Cricetulus griseus: one gene and its partner. The protein of the gene in region 2 purifies or fractionates together with the protein of the main gene of each other region. This does not show direct contact. Links are inferred from orthologs where the notes say so. Each region holds a gene or a part of one and is shown on either strand. Other genes may lie near its edges. The genes, in order: Vdac3 and Abcc1.

Evidence for each region.
Region 1: the proteins of Abcc1 (region 2) and Vdac3 fractionate together in Homo sapiens (co-fractionation; 3 studies listed by BioGRID). This does not show direct contact. The link is inferred for Cricetulus griseus from reciprocal best matches to the Homo sapiens genes ABCC1 and VDAC3.

The regions. Positions count from the first base shown.
Region 1 is NW_023276807.1:61,097,421-61,101,234, reverse strand, and holds part of Vdac3 (voltage-dependent anion-selective channel protein 3), read right to left. Parts: intron 3,047-3,814; coding exon 2,894-3,046; intron 1,306-2,893; coding exon 1,253-1,305; intron 1-1,252. UniProt on the Homo sapiens protein: Non-selective voltage-gated ion channel that mediates the transport of anions and cations through the mitochondrion outer membrane and plasma membrane.
Region 2 is NW_023276807.1:75,557,582-75,562,035, reverse strand, and holds the start of Abcc1 (multidrug resistance-associated protein 1), read right to left. Parts: upstream 2,965-4,454; 5' UTR 2,953-2,964; coding exon 2,824-2,952; intron 2,494-2,823; exon of another isoform or gene 2,429-2,493; coding exon of another isoform or gene 2,381-2,428; intron 1-2,380.

The DNA of each region.
Region 1 (3,814 bases), about 14 Mb from region 2:
ATATATACACACACACACACACACACACACACACACACACACACACACACACATATAAAGAAGCATATATGTCATTATATTCTTCACCATTAGTTGAAATAAGAGTATTTTATGATTCATCTCATAAAGGCATGAAAAAAATCATCAGATAGTTAACAGATAGGAAAATTGTTTTGAAGTTCTGTTGCACATCAGGGTCACTACATATAAAGTCCTATATATTTCAAAAACAATGCAAGGGTTTTAAATTTGCTTTCAACTAAAAAAAAAAATGATAGAGGTTTGATGAGATAGACACACTTACCCTATATGATTATATAATGTATACACATATTCAAACACTACATATTCCCTCACAGACATATATAATTTTGTCAAAAATATAAAGTCCATAACTAGTAAAATATTGCACTGCCAAACTAATAATCTGAAGATATATAAATATGTATAAATATACACAGAAATATCTTTAAATGTTTTCAAGTGCTACAAAACTAACATCAAAACACATTACTAAATTATTAGTAGAAATACACATTTTGTTGTTTGTTTTAGACAAGGTCTCAGTAAGTAGCCCTGGTTAGCCTGGAACTTGTGGAGATCCACCTGCCTGTCTCCAGAATGCTGGGATTAAAAGTGTGCACCAACACACCCAGCAGAAATATACTTTCAATAGCAATGCTGACTATTCAAAATTAGTTCTGAATAACCTTTGTCTATTAGTTCCAAATAGACTTCACATGGCTTTTAAGACAATATGTGTTCTAAAAAGCATAAGACAGGAAGGACAGTCTCATTGTTGTGTCTAAGAACAAATTCCTCTTTGCATTTATCTAGCATCTCTGCCTTCAGATAGCAGAAACTAGGTTGGGCAGTTAAATGACACAATGGGAAAATAGACTAAGCCTAGAGGACTTTCAGGGCTCAGAAATTAAGACAGCAGCACAACCACTCACCCTGGTCCCTCACAATCAGTGGATTACACTCTTGCCATGCCCATTAGTCTTTAGAATAGATAAACTATGGTCTCAGCCTTTCTAATTCCTAAACTAGCTGTACCTGTTTAAACATTTTTACTGGCAATGTGCTGCTGCCTGAGGAGTTCCTTCTTTAAAGACATACAAGTATTCTAACATTGCTAAAACAAGTTCTCAGTTTCTTTCTGCCCCTACAGCTCCCATTTTACATTTCCAATGTTAAAGTTCTAGGCCTCCGAGAAGAAATCAGATAAAAAATGGGTTTGGATAATTACCCTGTGTTTGGTACAAATATGGTATCAAGAGTCAGTTTCAACCCATCCGCCAACTGTAAAACAAAAATTTGTCAATTAATAATTAATTTTCTATTCTTCAAGTCAAAAAAGCCAATTCTAAAACTTCTTCCTATTTTCTCTTTAATTATGAATCATTAAAGAAAGCCAAAGAGTCAATTATATAATAAATAACCTCCCCCATCTTTTCTTTCTTTTTTCCAAGACAGAGTTCCTCCGTGTAGCCCTGGCTGTCCTGGAGCTTCTTCTATAGAGACCAGGTTAGCCTTGGACTCAGAGATCCACTTGTGCCTCCCCACTCACAGTGCTGGGATTAAGGCATGCACTACCACTCTCCCATCTTTCTTGATCCCCCTAACTCCCTCCTCTCAAGCCCTCCCTTCCTCCTGGCTCTCTTATCAAAATATAAATTAAACTGGCTATGGTGGCAGCATGTCCTTGTAATCAAAGCTACTCAGGAGGCTGAGGTAGAAAACCTTAAACACAGAAGTTTGCAATCAGCCTCAGTGACATAATAAGGCCACCATCTCAAAAATTTTAAAAAGGAGCCAGATGTGGTGATGCAAGCCCTTAATCCCAGCACTTGGAAGGCAGAGGCAGGTGGATCTCTGTGAGTTTGAGGCCCCCTGGTCTATAGACTGAGTTCCAGAACAGCCAGGACTATGCAGAGAAACCCTGTCTCAAAATAACAACAAACAAAAACAAAATTTAAAAGGTTAAAATGTATAGGACAAATCCTAATACATTAAATAACATAAATTGTCAAAAAGTAATTACTCCAATGTAACAAAATAATCCTGCTAATTCTCTTGAAATAACTATAAGATAACCTGACATTTAACAAAAACAAATTTCATCAGCTGTACCCCTTACTATGGGCCAATATACATAGATGTACCTTGAAAACTCAGGTGGGCACGGTGGCACACTCTTATAATTCCTGCACAGGCAGGAAAATCAGGAGTTCAAGGTCAACTTCAGCTATAAAGAAAGTTTGAGACTGGCCTATACTACATAATATCTATTCTCCGAAAGAAAATGTAGTGCCCTGTAAACAATGCATATCTAACAAAAATCAGCTACTTGGTTTTCTCCTTAAAAACATTTAAAAACTTAGAAACATTTCTGTGATTCTAAATTTGCAAAGATTACAAAGAGGATCTGTACTACACAGGAGAGGATTGACTCTGTGACACAATTAACTAATCAGAACAAAGATGCAGTGCAGATTTCTAGAAATGTTAAGACAAGCCAAGAAAATAAATAAAGGGAAAATATGGCAGGCGGCATTGTAAAAATTCCACTCAAATTATATTTGGAGTTTGTCCAATTTTTTAAAGATTTATTTGATTATTTTTAATCATGTGTATTTGTGTGTGTGTATGTGGGAGTACATACAGACAAGTGCAGCTGCTTGTGGGGCCAGAGTTATTAGATCCCCTGGAGCTGGAGTTACAGATGGCTATGAGCCACCTGACAAGGTTCTGGGAACTGAACTCAGGTCCTCTGTAAGAGCAGTAGATGCTCTTAACAGCTAAGCCATGTCTCCAGCCCCAGTAATGCTCCTTATTTGATGTGAAAGAGATATTAAACCTACAAATATCGTAAACTGCTTGTTCTTACCTTATTCTCCCAAGAGACTTCTGTCCCAAGAGTATTGTCTGTATTCCACTTTTGGGTGAAGGTGAGTCCATAGTCACAGACCTTATACTTGGTCTCTAGGTTGCCTGATGCTTTCCCTGTATCAGTATAAGCATGACCTGAAGTAGAAAATTCCTGGTAAAAAAAGAGAACATAATTATTTTAAGATGACCTCACCAAATAGAAACCATTTGTTTCAGAAAACAGTGTTCAATGTATCAGAAACTAATACAATTTACTTTTTACCACAACCCTACCATTCAACAATTTACCTCCTTCTCTCTTTTTGTTTCTAGCCAGGTTTAGAATTTTCCATTATTCCTTCTTTATTACTGATATTTATTAGTCCATACGTTCTTTTTTAATGGTCATATTAAATTCTTAACTTTAAAAGAAAAATCTCTGCCAGAAATAATTGCCTTTATTAAAAAATTTTGAAGAATTTCACTTTCATGGCCTAAGATGACTATCAATTCTCTGATATTTGTCAAACAGTAAATTTAGAGGTGCTTAAAAATCTATAAACACTACCTCTAATACTCTCTTTTTATAGGCAGCAGTTTAGTACATTGTGACTGGGAGATGAAGGTACACAGTGGGTGTGAAGGTAGGGGTGAAGAGGTGGTGGTGGGAAAGGGGTGCTGGGAATGGAACCCAAGGCTCTGCCAATATCTCTCACTGACCTATACCCTCAACCTATTGCCTTATTTATAATTTATAAATGAGTGCCTGCCTACATATACATATATACATATGGACATACATACATACATACATACATACATACATACATACATACATATGCATGTGTGAACTATGTGCATGCCTGGTGTTCATCAAGACCAGAAAGGGGATTGGATTCACTGTAACTAGACCTATAGGCAGCTATGAATTGCACATGGG
Region 2 (4,454 bases):
GAGGAGTGGAGAGAGGGGAAACTGCAGTGGAGATGTAATACGTGAGAGAAGAATTACAAAAATATACCAAGTGCAGTGCAGGCTAGATCACTCGCACTGATAAACCCAAGACCACAGCACAGTCTAGACCACTCACTCCATAGCCCTAGAAGGCTGGGAAGCTTTCCCCATACCCCTATTGTACAGCTAAACTGAGGCACAGTCAGCAGTGATGACAGCTTACTCAAGATGATAAAGTCTAGCAGGGCAGGGGATGTTAACACAGTGCTGTGTGAGGCCCTAGGTCCAATCGCAGGGTGGGGATGCAGCTACCTGCCTATCAGTAGGTAGTCTGTGCTGACTGCAACACTTAGCTTTGGAAGGCAGAAGCCACTGGCTTCAGTTTGCTGTCCTTTGAGGCACTGTCTCACTCTAGCCCAAGCCTCTCTGAAACTCTTCATCCTTTGGCCTCAGCTTCCCAAGTGCTGCAACTGTAGGTATGTGCCTCCATAACAGTCTAACCGACCTACTCTGTGTTGTGTTTGGATTCTCCAGCTATAGGGAAGTGCTTGCTTGCCAACTGCTCTCTCACCCATTCTGGTTCCAGGACTCCAGAAACAGAAGCATCCAGCAAGCCTAGACCAGTGGGAGGAGGGGCATTGATGAAAATTGAGGGAGGATGGGTCCCTGCCTAAGGTGAAGGTCAGCCACCATTATTGCCAAGCACAGTTCTTCCTTCTTAATTTTCTATGGCAAGAAGTCCCTAGAAAGAGAGAACACAAAACTGGGTTTCTTGGGTAGGTTTCTAGGCTGATTAGAAGATAGAGAACACCCCAAACACTTTTTAATCATCACTTCCCATCACTTCCCGGCAATAAAATACATCCTGGTTTGGGTTGGCAAGATGCTGGCTGCCTAATGACCTGAGTTCAATCCTCAGACCACACATGCTGGAAGGAAAGAACCAACTCCCTCAGATTTCTGACTTCCATATGTGTGCCATGGTATGCATGCCCCAGTTCTACACACACACACACACACACACACACACACACACACACACACACACACACACAGAGTACAGTATGTATGTATACATATGGATGGATATATATATAAAAATAAACTGGTACAGAATCCAATGTCTAATCAACTTACTTTCGCCCACCACAAAAGAAAATAATCCAGGAAATACACCATCAACTATTTAACACTGAGCCAGATCCCACTAGATCCTTGAAGAATAATTCTGTTCTCTCCACACAAAGCACAAGGTAGAGAACACACAGGTGTTCCTCTGTGGCAAACAGGCACCAAGCCCTTGCAGACTCCAAAATGCTAATCGCTAGCACTGTTTTCAGCCCTGGAGAAACCTCCAGCCTTGTGGCTTTAAAATGGGAGTCATATCCAAGTGTGGTAAGTTTCTCAACCAAAAATGGCACCCTTCCTCACCCAAAAGACTGAAGTCTGCCAATGGGCCTTCATAGGTTGTCACTATTATGAGGGAGGTATCCCAAAACAGTACAAGAAGGAACTTGTGGGCACTAATCAGCAACTAAGAAACGAGAGTTTTTCCTGTTTCTCAAAAAAACAAAACAAAACAAAAAAACTCTTTGTGTCCAGACTGTCTATTGTATTCACTAAATAATCAGGACAGCACGATACAGGAGTGTTCTGGAACAATGGGCAAATCGCATTACAGGGACACGAAATCCACAAGCACTGGGGATTATTAGCGCAGTCAGCCAGGGAAACCAGCCTAGGGTTATTTCAGAAGAAAGCTACCTGGAGAAGGCCAGAAGTCTCCGGAACAGCCCCAGAGCAGAGCCTCAGCACCATACAGGGTGGAAGGCACTCCCCTGGGTACCAGGGTCCCGGGCATCTCCACTGCACCCCAAACCCACAGAGGGGGGGGGGGCAGAACGGCTTCCTACCCTTCTCTTGCCTTATCCTTCCTGTTTCCTCAAACTTTCCTGGTAGCATTTAGGCAGAAAGGAAGGAAAGGATGAGAAAAACCTGATGCCAACGTAACAGGGAGGTAAACAAACAGTGGGGGACCCCCAAAACAAGGGGAGTGAAGTCACTTTGTAGAGCTCCTGCCCGGTGCTCAGAGACGGGGTGTGTGCTGTGAATGGGGGATCCTTACCCCTACTGGGGACGGAAAAACCCCCACTTAATGCCTCCAGCAGAACCCCAAAGCAGAGAGGCCGCTCCCCGCGCACGCCCAGCAATCCCGGAACCGGGTCCCCAGAGTCTGGCCGCGGCGGCTGCGCCCGGGCCCGGATGGCGGGTCCCCGCGTCTGCAGAGCGGGGCTCGGGCTGGGGAGCGGCTGGACCCGCACGTCCCAGCGTTCCCCGCGACCCCTAGACCTCCCCGACCACCCCGCGGCCCACCACCTACCCAAAGCGGGTCGGAGCCATCAGAGCTGCAAAACCTGCGTAGCGCCATGCGGGTGACCGGCTGAGCGAGAAGCCGCAGCGCCGCGCGGTTGGCCCGCGTCACCGGGATGCAGCCCCGCCCCACCCGCCCCGCCCCGCGCCACCCCGCCCGGCGCGTGGGAGCAAGCCAGGCAGGCTCCTTGGTGCCCCGGGCTGGGCGTGGAGGCCTCGTCTGCAGCTCCCACCTCCTGCCGGTTCCTAACGCCGACGCGGCCGCGAGGAACCCGGCGCTGGGCCCTCCACTCCCTGGCTTCGTCCCAGGCGATCCTAACTGTACAGCCTTTCCCGTGCTGCGGGATTTGGAGCTTTTTTCCCTTCAGAATCAACTGGCGGGGGTAGGGATGTGAGCTCCCAAGAAAGAAAAGGGAACAGATGAGGGGAACAGATGAGGAAACTGAGGCTCACCGGTGAGGAAACTCGCTCAGGGCCACTCAACGAGTACAAGGGGAGTTCGTTCGAATCAGGAACCTTAACATTCCATCCTATACACTGAGATCTCCATCCTAAACGCCTGTTTGCCACCCCTCCTCCCATGGTCTGCAAAGCACCCTGGGAATTCCTCCCACTCCCCCCTTTTTTTTTTTTTTTAAGAATTTATTTATTATGTATTCAATGCTCTGCCAGCATGTATTCCTGCATGCTGGAAGAGGGCACCAGATTTCATAACAGATGGTTGTGAGCCATCATGTGGTTGCTGGGAATTGAACTCAGGACCTCTGAAAGAGCACTCAGTGCTCTTAACCTCTGAGCCATCTCTCCAGCCCTTTCTCCCACTCTAGAGTGCAGCCAGGAAATAAGTCCTTTCCTTGTGGTTTCTTGGTTTGGATTTGGGAGATTTGGGACAGGGTCTCATATAACCAAGTCTGGCCTCTAATGCACTATGTAGTGGAAGATGATCTTGAACTCCTGATCCTCCTGCCACCATTTTTTTGATACAGGGTTTCTCTGTGTAGCCCCTGACTGTCCTGGAACTCGATTTGTAGATTAGGGTAGCCTAAAATTCAGAGATCCACTCCCAAGTGGATCTCTACAATGACCACTACAATGGGCCATGCCATGCCTCCACTTCTCGATAACCTAAACAACTGGGTTAATGTGGTGCTGAGAATAGAACCCAGGACTTCCTCCGTGCTAGGCAAGCACTCTACCCAAAGAGCTATGCCACTCCAGCCCCTCGAAAATACTTTAATTTTAAAAAAATAACAATAAAGGTAAGTGAGTAAGATAAACATAATTTATGAGGATCAACCACAAGCCAGAGAATGTTAGGTACCCGAGGCAGAGGCATGAATAAAACAGGCTCCGAACCACCCCATGAAGTAGGGCTGGCAAGAACCCAGCTGCTGATGTTCATCATAGAGGCAAGGACACTGAAGCCTAGAGACATAAGACTACTTAACACTCATGGTTAGAGAGCTACTCAAGGCTCCATGCTTAACAATATACAAACATTAACCTAAAACTCACATATCAACCCATGAAGTACATAGTATTATTCTTCCTGTTTTTCAGGTTGGAGACCAAACAGAAAACAAAAGCAACTTGTCAAAGATCATTTACATGGTGAATGACCGAGCCCAGCTTTTGAACAAAGCAGTCCTGCTAAAGGTGGGGGGGGGGAGTCAGGGGAGGGAATAAATTAATAATACCACTGTGTGATGCTGCCTCAGTACTGCTTAAGACACAGAAGAGCTGGGCGGAAGTCCAGGAGTCTAAACTTTCCAATGACTCCACCAATACCTCTAGTCTCTCCTCCTCTTCTTAGGTGTCTGCCTGATGCTCAGTCTCCGTTAGCATGCACATGAACAGCTACAGCAAATAAGAACAACTGAGTACACAAATGAGAGCCCACCGACACAAAGTTCTTGGTGAAGGAAGACGGAAGGACACAGGATTTTTCTGTGATTCTTTGACTGGTCCAGGTGCCCCCTCAATATGAGTGAGTGAGTGTTTGTTTGTTTGGTTGTTGTTGTAATAGTAACATTACTTATTTGTGTGTGTATGTGTGTGGGAATGCATGGCAATTACTTGTGGAG